3 linked regions of the Mus musculus genome follow. The protein of the gene in region 1 binds, or shares a complex with, the protein of each later gene. Links are inferred from orthologs where the notes say so. Each region holds a gene or a part of one and is shown on either strand. Other genes may lie near its edges. A codon is read from its position in the direction of its gene.

What was found. Proteins that work in one complex are often made in the same cells at the same time.
Region 2: the proteins of Mapk14 (region 1) and Tab1 are in contact, whole or in part, in a crystal structure (PDB 4LOP), measured with the Mus musculus proteins. Residues at the interface, in NP_036081.1 of Mus musculus: Gly110, Ala111, Asn115, Ile116, Cys119, Gln120, Lys121, Leu122, Thr123, Asp124, Asp125, His126, Phe129, Val158, Asn159, Glu160, Asp161, Cys162, Leu217, Thr218, Gly219, Arg220, Thr221, Leu222, Asn272, Val273, Phe274, Ile275, Gly276, Ala277; in NP_079885.2 of Mus musculus: Val385 (codon at 1,067), Tyr386 (codon at 1,064), Pro387 (codon at 1,061), Val388 (codon at 1,058), Ser389 (codon at 1,055), Val390 (codon at 1,052), Pro391 (codon at 1,049), Tyr392 (codon at 1,046), Leu405 (codon at 1,007), Ser406 (codon at 1,004), Leu407 (codon at 1,001), Val408 (codon at 998), Met409 (codon at 995), Pro410 (codon at 992).
Region 3: Mapk14 (region 1) and Nod2 share a complex: the UniProt entries of both Homo sapiens proteins name them as parts of the signaling complex. The link is inferred for Mus musculus from reciprocal best matches to the Homo sapiens genes MAPK14 and NOD2.

Annotation. Positions count from the first base shown.
Region 1 is NC_000083.6:28,743,139-28,746,123, forward strand, and holds part of Mapk14 (mitogen-activated protein kinase 14), read left to right. Parts: intron 1-1,844; coding exon 1,845-2,018; intron 2,019-2,985. UniProt on the Homo sapiens protein: Serine/threonine kinase which acts as an essential component of the MAP kinase signal transduction pathway.
Region 2 is NC_000081.6:80,157,092-80,159,825, reverse strand, and holds part of Tab1 (TGF-beta-activated kinase 1 and MAP3K7-binding protein 1), read right to left. Parts: intron 2,223-2,734; coding exon 2,000-2,222; intron 1,076-1,999; coding exon 919-1,075; intron 1-918. UniProt on the Homo sapiens protein: Key adapter protein that plays an essential role in JNK and NF-kappa-B activation and proinflammatory cytokines production in response to stimulation with TLRs and cytokines.
Region 3 is NC_000074.6:88,664,293-88,667,995, forward strand, and holds part of Nod2 (nucleotide-binding oligomerization domain-containing protein 2), read left to right. Parts: coding exon 1-1,221; intron 1,222-3,703. UniProt on the Homo sapiens protein: Pattern recognition receptor (PRR) that detects bacterial peptidoglycan fragments and other danger signals and plays an important role in gastrointestinal immunity.

The DNA.
Region 1 (2,985 bases):
CACCCCTGAATCCTCACCAGCAGATGTGCGGTACACAGTGTCTGAGTCTTCTCTGATGGAGCTGGTAGAGATCCCCATTTAGACACTGAGAAGAGCTGCCTTACAGGAGTGAATCCAGGCTGCTGGAGACTAAAAGGAGGCTCTGGCCCATCTGGTGCTCTTCACAGCCTGCTCACATCCAAACGTGCCTGGCAGCCCATTGCCAAGTGCTGGTCAGAAGGAACATGCTGTTACCGATTGCTAGCCTAGCCGTCCCCAACAGGCTGCACACCAGCGATATAAATATTAACAGCCCTGTTGTCGGTCACAGGCTTCGCATCACTGCTAGCCTCAAGACACAGCTGAGAACTTCACATTGCCCTTTGATCTTAGAGTGTCTATTTATGTCTGCCTCCATACTTGAAAAGTCTTGTTCTTACTTCTGACCTTGTTCCTCATCTAAGTGCTTTGATCCTGAGGACGTGGACCTCTTTTTACCCCAGGGTAGCAGGCACCCACTCATTCATGTTCAGTATAAAGTCAGCGGATTTGTAGAACGTGAGGATTTGTATCCAGGAAGTCCACCAGTGCTTCAGTGTTGAAGACAGAGTCATGTGGCCTGTTGTGCCACCATGCTCACTGTCTGCAGTGCTAGGTTTAGATCCAAGGCCTTATGCACACTTTGCAAACTTTACTGGCTATATCCCAGCCCTCCTCCAGCACTCTAAAACTGGAGAGCCAGCGTATGCATGTTTGCTGTTTCCTCTGTACCCTCAAAGCCTGCGTTTCTGTGGATAACTGGTGTTCAGGCTACAGGGTACATAATCACTCAGAGGAGCAGAGGTATAGCATCTCTTCAGGAAGTTCTCCTCGACACCCATGGAGCCTTCCACGCTGAAGAAATCATCTGGAGCTGTAGAGATGGCCAACGGGGCCCTTGGTCTGAGTCCCTGCACCAACAGGATGCCTCACAACTGTCTTTAATTACACTTACAGAGGATCCAGCGCCCTCTGCTGGCTTTTAGATTTTCAGCCAGCAGGCATGCACTGTAGTGGAGACATACTTAAAACTTAAATCTAGCTGGGCGTGGTGGCGCACGCCTTTAGTCCCAGCACTCAGGAGGCAGAGGCAGGCGGATTTCTGAGTTCGAGGCCAGCCTGGTCTACAGAGTGAGTTCCAAGACAGCCAGGGCTACACAGGGAAACACTGTCTCGAAAAACAAACAGAAAAAAAAACCTTAAATCTAAAAACTTGTGGAGTTTATTTCTGTTTTACTTTTGGGAGAGAAAAAACCTGGAAGCCATTATTGAAAGTAACTGATAATCACCAGGAGACAAACCATCTCCCCATATTATTCACTTGGGGAGAAACGGGGAAGAGCTCAAGATGCCAACCACCTTAGCTCAGCATAAATGGAGCTCCTGGCTGTGGTGCCCCAGGTCACAGCATCACCTGTGGCATGGTCTCACCCAGTATGCCTAATTTCACTCTTACCAACAATTGAGGTGGTAAATGTAAAGACTAGAGAGAAATGGGAGAGAGTGCACACAGCATAAGGAGAGGGGAAGGAAGCCTCCATGGTGGTGTGCCACACCTGCAGTGTCCACAAATGAAAACCAAGGTGGATGGAGAAGGAGAGCTGGGGGGTAGGAGGGGGTGTTTGTTTATTATTCTGGGTTTCAAACCCAGAACCTCAGTAATGTTTTTAAAATGTGCCATAGGCATTCAATGCGTACATGGAGGGAAGGGGTTACATGCAGAAGCAGACACCTTAAAGGATGCTTTGTGTGGATGTGAAAGGTGCTTGGAACTTGCACAGTGGTGGCACTGATGTCATGTGTTTTCCTCTTTTCTGGTGTGACAGCTGTCGACCTACTGGAGAAGATGCTCGTTTTGGACTCAGATAAGAGGATCACAGCAGCCCAAGCTCTTGCGCATGCCTACTTTGCTCAGTACCACGACCCTGATGATGAGCCTGTTGCTGACCCTTATGACCAGTCCTTTGAAAGCAGGGACCTTCTCATAGATGAGTGGAAGAGTGAGTCCAGGGCAGGCTAGCGTGGGCTTTGAGCTTGCTTTCATTTTATTCATGTTTTGTTTGTTTTCTGAGCCAGGGTTTTTCTCTGTGTAGCCACTCAGAGGAACTCACTTTGTAGATCAGGCTAGCCTTAAACTCAGAGATCCATCTGTCTGTGCCTTCCGAGTGCTGAGATTAAAAGCATGTGCTACCAAGTCCCGTTTATGTAATATTTTTTAACAGTGCTGGAGATTGGACCTAGGACTCACACATATTTCCAACATACCTATGATCCCAGCACTTGGGAATCAGATTAAAAGTTTAAGGTTAAAAAAAAAAACAGACTGAAGCCGGGCATTGGTGACGCACGCCTTTAATTCCAGCACTGGGGAGGCAGAGGCAGGTAGATTTATGAGTTCGAGACCAGCCTGGTCTACAGAGTGAGTTCCAGGATAGCCAGGGCTACATAGAGAAACCCTGTCTCAAAACAAACAAACAAACAAAAAAAAACCAGGCTGTAAAGTTATTCACAGCTGTGTAGGTAGTTTGAGGCTATCCTGGGCTACATGAGAACCTGTCTGAATAAAACCCTCGTGGATGGTTGCCAGCAGCTTTCTGAGCTCACTGCCAGGGTCTCTGATGCGTATGTTCCCTGATGGGCTGCAGACACAGAGTGCAGAGCCTTCAAACTGACAGAGCTTTGAGGTGCTTGGCGGTTTTACGTTTACAGCATCTTTTCAGGATAAAGAGGGTCTGGCGTATTTCAGCACAGAACTAGGACAGGAGTTTTTTATAGCTTACTTTTGGCCTAGTTAGGGACTGCCAGGAATGGAGCCACATCTCCACCCCCAGTCATACTCCTTCATAAAGCACAAGGTCAGTTCTGCAGTTAGGACTGCCTCGTTGTGTGCAGAGTGCAGTGCTGCTCCAGGGAGCACTCAGAAGGAGCACCGTGCATGATGGAGTGGGGAGACAGTTCTGTCTGTGT
Region 2 (2,734 bases), on another chromosome or scaffold:
CTTTGTGGACACAGCTGCTGGTTTCCTGGGGAAGCCTGGTGGGGAGGGAGGGCTATGCTGATTGTGCTGGGGACAGCACACGGCTACCCAGGATGCCCAGATGTCTACCAGGCCCTTCCATCCACAGAGGTGGTGGCAGGAACAGCAGCAGCACAGACTTGGGGACAGATGGAGGCCCTCTAAAGAGGCAGAGGGAGAGGCAGAGGAAAACAGGGGCACTCCCTCCCTGCCAGCCCTTCTAATTGGCCACATCCGGCTAAGCTCTAAGTGGAGAGGGGCTGGGTGTGGCAGCTGTATTATTCCATCGGTGCAGGGCTGGAATGTGGAAACCAGATCCCCCCCTCCCCCGGAGAGGTGGGGTGGGAGCAAAGTACAAAGTCACAGAAGTACAGGGAGCGGTTGGACAAGAGACCTGTCAGGCAGGTCTGCACCATGCCCCTCCTCTCAGGCCATGACCTCCACCCCCAGTGCCCCTTACACTAGACAGCTGACAGCCATGGCATGCCACAGTGAGAGAGCAGCAGCTCTGACAACCCAGTACAGGCCAGGCAATGTCCCCAACTACAGATGCATGAAGCCAGTGGCCCTGGGTTACAAACTCCAAGACAGAAGAAAAACACGAGAGAAGCTGCCCATGGATGAAAGCTGAGACGTCAGTCAGCTGCCTTGCTTCTTTCTCGGGTCCCCTGTCCACCTTGCCCTGAATCTCCACTTGTCCCAGGTCCAGTTCAATACCTGCTAGAACCTGTGTCTAATAAGACTCCCTACCCAAAAGGTGAGGGTGGAGAATTGGAGGCCAAAGATCCAGAGTCCCCAGACCCCAGCCTCTCTCATCCTGCCCCACTGAGCCCTAGGATTTGGTTGCCCAGCTGTTTCTCTCCAGGTTCCCATGTCTGTCTCTAGAGTAGGATGGCTTACTTAGTGAGTGTGGGAGTGGCTTCGTCCAGAGTGGAGGCACTGTGAGAGCCGTTGACCATCTGGCCCTGAGAAGGCATGACGAGGGACAGAGTCACACTAGTCTTGCTGGTGCTCTGGGCACTTGAGTAGGGCACAGAAACAGGGTACACACGGCCCCCTGCAATAGGAGAGAGAGAGAGAGCAGGGGGGGAGGGGAATCAGTCGGAGGAAACCAAGGTAGTGGCCTCAAGGCTTCTCTTGAGTGACAAGGGCTATGTGAGGGCTGAGAGGCCCCTAAGCCCCACTGTGGCCCTCCACCCCTGGGGTGGCCCAGGGTAGATGTCCCTTGGTACGAGTATCTTCCAGAATAGCAGTGGGACCTCTATCCAGCAAAGAAACCCACTGGGGATCAAGGTGGGAGTGGAATAAAGTGCTGGATGGGCTCTGAGAAAGGGCTACTAAACCTTAATACAGAGGGTAGACTGTTTCCTGTTGAGGCAGGCCCAATGAAAATACGGTTACAAGTGCAGGCCAGAGGGACTCCAGCTCCCCAGTGTCCATGGAGAGCAATGGGAGGTGAGAGCTCCACAGTTTGTTTGTTTAAAAACAGAAAAGGAAATGCAGCGCTTGGGAGCAGTACAGAAGGTCTCACTGCTGCCCAGGCAGCTTGACTCAAGGACTTAAAAGGAAAAAGGGATGGAGTGAAGTATCTCCACACAATGCCCGGCTGGGGCAGACCATCTGTCTCATACCTGACCTCACCCAGGTCTCTCCAGGCTAGAGCCTTTCTCCTTTCTGTCAAGGTTGCTGGTAAGGGTGAGAAGTGACAAGGAGGCTAGGAGGGACCTCTGCCATCTGCCTTTGTGACTGTACATGATATGCTCATGCAGCAAGACTTCCAGGATGGTCAGGACAAGTGCTCCTTATTTTACAGACAGAGTAAAGACCTGCAGCTCAGAGTCCAGAACTCTACAGCTGGAGTTGAGCAAGGCCAGCCCCCTGGCTCCATACGCACTCCAAGCAGCCAACTTCATGGTATCAGCCCGTCCGTGTTGCCTCCAGCCCAGGACTCATCTCAGGTGTACCTACGTGGCATACATACCTGGGGCAGGGGTCGGTGTAGGCTGGCTCATTTCACCCAATGGATAGCCAAAGTTCCTCACCAGCAGGGTCATGTCTTCATGCCGTGGGCAGAACTTGGCACGCTCCCCACCACTGGCAAAGGTGTCACTGTGGATCCGCTTTACACGGTCTACCACAGCCTGGGCAACCGCATCCAGGGAGGTCTGCTTGGCAAACTCGGTGTCAATCATCGCGGCAATCTCCTGGGGTGTGGAGGGAGGACGTGATGAGGAATCAGGGTGATCGGGGGTGGGAGGTGAGGTGGGAGGGGGCTGTGTAGGAGACTTAGAGATCACTAGCCCAGCAAGAGAAGGGAGTCTCTGCCAGTCAATTGCAACCTGAGCTTTCCAAGCTGTTCAGGACAATCCTTCTGGAACGCACTGATTAGAAAAGGTGTGGGACCTTGTGCTCTCCCTACCGGCTTCCACACCTCTAAGTGGGTTGTCGCCGGAATTACATAACTCACGGGTACAAGGTTACTCAGGACTGCTAAGAAACGCAGGGTAGAGGCTGTGGCTATGCCTTTTTCCCTGGATAAAACACCCGTGCCACATGCAGGGCATTTTGTAGGAACTGCCTGCCCTGTCTGGTATATTCTAGAACCTAGTAGATGCTTCTACTGTGAAGACCAAAAGGGAGAGAAACAAAAACAAACCCATACTGAAGGATCAGCCAAGTGTGGTGGTACATACTTGTACCCCAACACTCAAGAGGC
Region 3 (3,703 bases), on another chromosome or scaffold:
CCTGCTGAAGAATGCCTGCAAGGTGCTGACCAGCCGTCCGGATGCTGTGTCAGCGCTCCTCAGGAAGTTCGTTCGCACAGAGTTGCAACTGAAGGGCTTCTCTGAAGAGGGCATCCAACTGTACCTGAGAAAGCACCACCGGGAACCTGGGGTGGCAGACCGCCTCATCCAGCTGATCCAAGCCACCTCAGCCCTGCATGGTTTGTGCCACCTCCCTGTCTTCTCTTGGATGGTGTCCAGATGCCACCGGGAACTTCTGCTGCAGAACAGGGGCTTCCCAACAACCAGCACGGACATGTACCTCCTGATCCTGCAGCATTTCCTGCTGCATGCCTCCCCTCCGGACTCCTCCCCACTCGGTCTGGGACCTGGACTCCTCCAAAGCCGGCTCTCCACCCTCCTGCACCTTGGCCACCTGGCTCTCCGGGGCCTGGCCATGAGCTGCTATGTGTTCTCAGCCCAGCAGCTCCAGGCAGCTCAGGTTGACTCTGATGATATTTCTCTTGGTTTCCTGGTACGTGCCCAAAGTAGTGTGCCCGGGAGCAAGGCGCCCCTGGAGTTCCTGCACATTACCTTCCAGTGCTTTTTTGCCGCTTTCTACTTGGCTGTCAGTGCTGACACATCGGTGGCCTCTCTCAAGCACCTTTTCAGCTGTGGCCGGCTGGGCAGCTCACTGCTGGGAAGGCTGCTGCCCAACCTGTGTATCCAGGGCTCCAGAGTCAAGAAGGGCAGCGAAGCAGCCCTGCTGCAGAAGGCTGAGCCACACAACCTGCAAATCACAGCAGCCTTCCTAGCAGGTCTGTTGTCCCAGCAGCATCGGGACCTGTTGGCTGCATGCCAGGTCTCCGAGAGGGTACTGCTCCAGCGTCAGGCACGTGCCCGCTCGTGTCTGGCCCACAGCCTCCGCGAGCACTTCCATTCCATCCCGCCTGCCGTGCCCGGTGAGACCAAGAGCATGCATGCTATGCCGGGCTTCATTTGGCTCATCCGTAGCCTGTACGAGATGCAGGAGGAGCAGTTGGCCCAGGAGGCTGTCCGTCGCTTGGACATCGGGCACCTGAAGTTGACATTTTGCAGAGTGGGCCCTGCAGAGTGTGCTGCACTGGCCTTTGTACTGCAACATCTCCAGCGGCCTGTGGCCCTACAGCTGGATTACAACTCTGTGGGAGATGTTGGAGTGGAACAGCTGCGACCGTGCCTTGGGGTCTGCACAGCTCTGTAGTGAGTGTGACAAGGTCTTGCCGATTGGGCCTGTGGCAAATGCTACTGTCAAGGCTGGACGTAGAAGCATAGAACACTGTTGGGACCCAGAAGTCTGGGTCCTATTCCACCTCTGCCACCCTTCATACAACACCAGCCAGACCCTTCCCTCTTCTGGGCCTTAGTTTCAGAACAAATAACTATAGCTATTGTCTTAGTTTGTTTTCCTTTGCTGTGATAGAATATTTTGACCAGAAGCAGCTTGAGGAGGAAAAAGTTTATTTTATTTCGCAGGGTACAGTCCATCATGAATGGAAGCAGGAGCGTAAAGAAGAAACAGTGGAGGGGTTCTGTTTACTGCCTTGCTTCTTCTGGCTTGCTCAGCTAGCTTTTTAGTACACACCAGGCCCACCTGTCTAGAGATGGTATCACAGTGGGCTGGGCCCTCTTCCATCAATGAACAATCAAGGAAATGACCCATAGACAAGCCCACGGGCCAGTCTGATGGAAGCAATTCCTCAATTAAGACTCCCTTGTCCCAGGTGTGTCAAGTTGACAACCAAGATTAGGCATCGCAGCCAGACTTGAAGTTTTGTGTTAGGCACTGTGCTATACTTTCTGAAATAACCCCATCCATCCCCACAACCATGCTGGGCTCAGCAGGGCTCTTAGCACCCCACGATTCTTTCCTTGAGGCTCACAGAAGTCAAGTAACTTGTCAGAATCATATGGGCAACAAGGGTGGTTTTCACAAAGCATGCCTTTCTGGTTTCAAGTCTCCTGTCTCTGGATGCGTTTCCACTGCTCTGGGGAATCCTTGAGGTCCCACACAAAGTTTTGTGTCTGTATTAAGGACCACTTCAAACCAGAAATAGTTTGAGCCCCATTTGAGTCTTTAAAATTTCATCATTATGGGACTTCCGTCACTTGAGATAAATCAGTTGGAGAACTTCCCATCACCCACATTGCTTTCTGTTCCATGGCTAAAAACATGAGGCTCTGCTCCTTGGAACATCTGTGGGCCTCTTTCCATGTCTGGGGTTGGGCAAAGGCAGAGAGTATACTCAGATCTGGTGACCAGCATGCCCCTCCCACAACCTCCCTTCTCACTTGTCAGTAAACAGGGTGGCCTGCTATTTATTTAGAGCCTATCAGAAAGAGGAAGTTGTACATTACAGTTAAGATCTAGAAACAGCCTCCTGGGGCTTTGGCTCTCCTTGCAGATAACCTTAATTGAACTTAACAAAAGGCAAGATTCCTGTCCGTATTAGGTGACTTATCTGCTCTAAGGTAAAGCCACAACACAGACACCTTTGTGCAACTGTGTGTTGACTTACCCTTGTACAGGGATGTGGTTGCAAGTTTATAACATAATATGGTGTGTTGTATATGCAGTTAATGTGTAGCTCTGTTGCACACAATAACTGTATAATAGAAATATGAATAGCTCCATCAGGGTCTTGAGGTAACAGATGCAGCCCTTAAGTTGGGAAATAGGGGGAAAGTCTATGGAAGGGACTGCAGAGTTGTGGGTGGGAATTAGGAAGGGCTCTAGGGAAAAGCCTGAAGCGAGAGAGGATTTGCTGGCTGAGAGGAAGACCCAGGGAGGAGCTTTAGGAAGGGATGCATCTGAGGTAAGAAGGCGCTTTTCCTCTGCCCCTTGCCTTTCCAGTGCTGTGCCTTCAGCTGGCTGAGCCTACCTGAGGTCACCTTAGGGTATCTGCCTCCTAGCACCTAGAGCCAAGAGAAGAGCATGAATTTGGCTAGGAAAATTAATGAACATGATCTGTACCATGCACCATGTCTCTGGGAACAGAGCTGCATGGGACCTTAATTGGGAACTTGGAGCCCTGGGTGTTGAAGCTGCTCTCCTGGCTAGTGGGCCAAGCCTTTTTTTTTTCAAGACACAGTTTCTCTGTATAGCCCTGGCTGTCCTGGAACTCACTCTGTAGACCAGGCTGGCCTTGAACTCAGAAATTCGCCTGCCTCTGCCTCCCAAGTGCTGGGATTAAAGGCATGCGCCACCACGCCTGGCAGGGCCACTCCTTTTAAACCACAACCTCAGAAGACCATATATACTGGCCTGGATGACCCTCAGAGCAAGTCATCTCTGGATTTTTATTTTTAAGTGGGGCTTCAGCTAACTCACACTGATCTCAAACTTAAGATCTTTCTGCCTCCCCCCATTCGTACCAGAGTTACAGATACAGTATACCAAGCTCAGCACCCATCCATCCCTGGAATTTTTAAATGGTCCTTTTTTTTTAATGATTAAGAACGTTCATATGATTCTGTGACATGATGGGACCAGAGGTCTGGGAGGCTGTGGGCCTGTCTGTTTTCAGAAAAAGGGAGTCCTGGCCTGGTGTCATGAAAAGTCGCTTGTTGAATTGGAGGTTCCTGGGCTGCAGTAATTCCTGTTCAGTAGGCTTGGGTGGGAAGGGGGTGCCTGGGGGAATTGGGGAAGTTGGGGAGGGTTGGGAACCTGTGTGTTATTCAGACA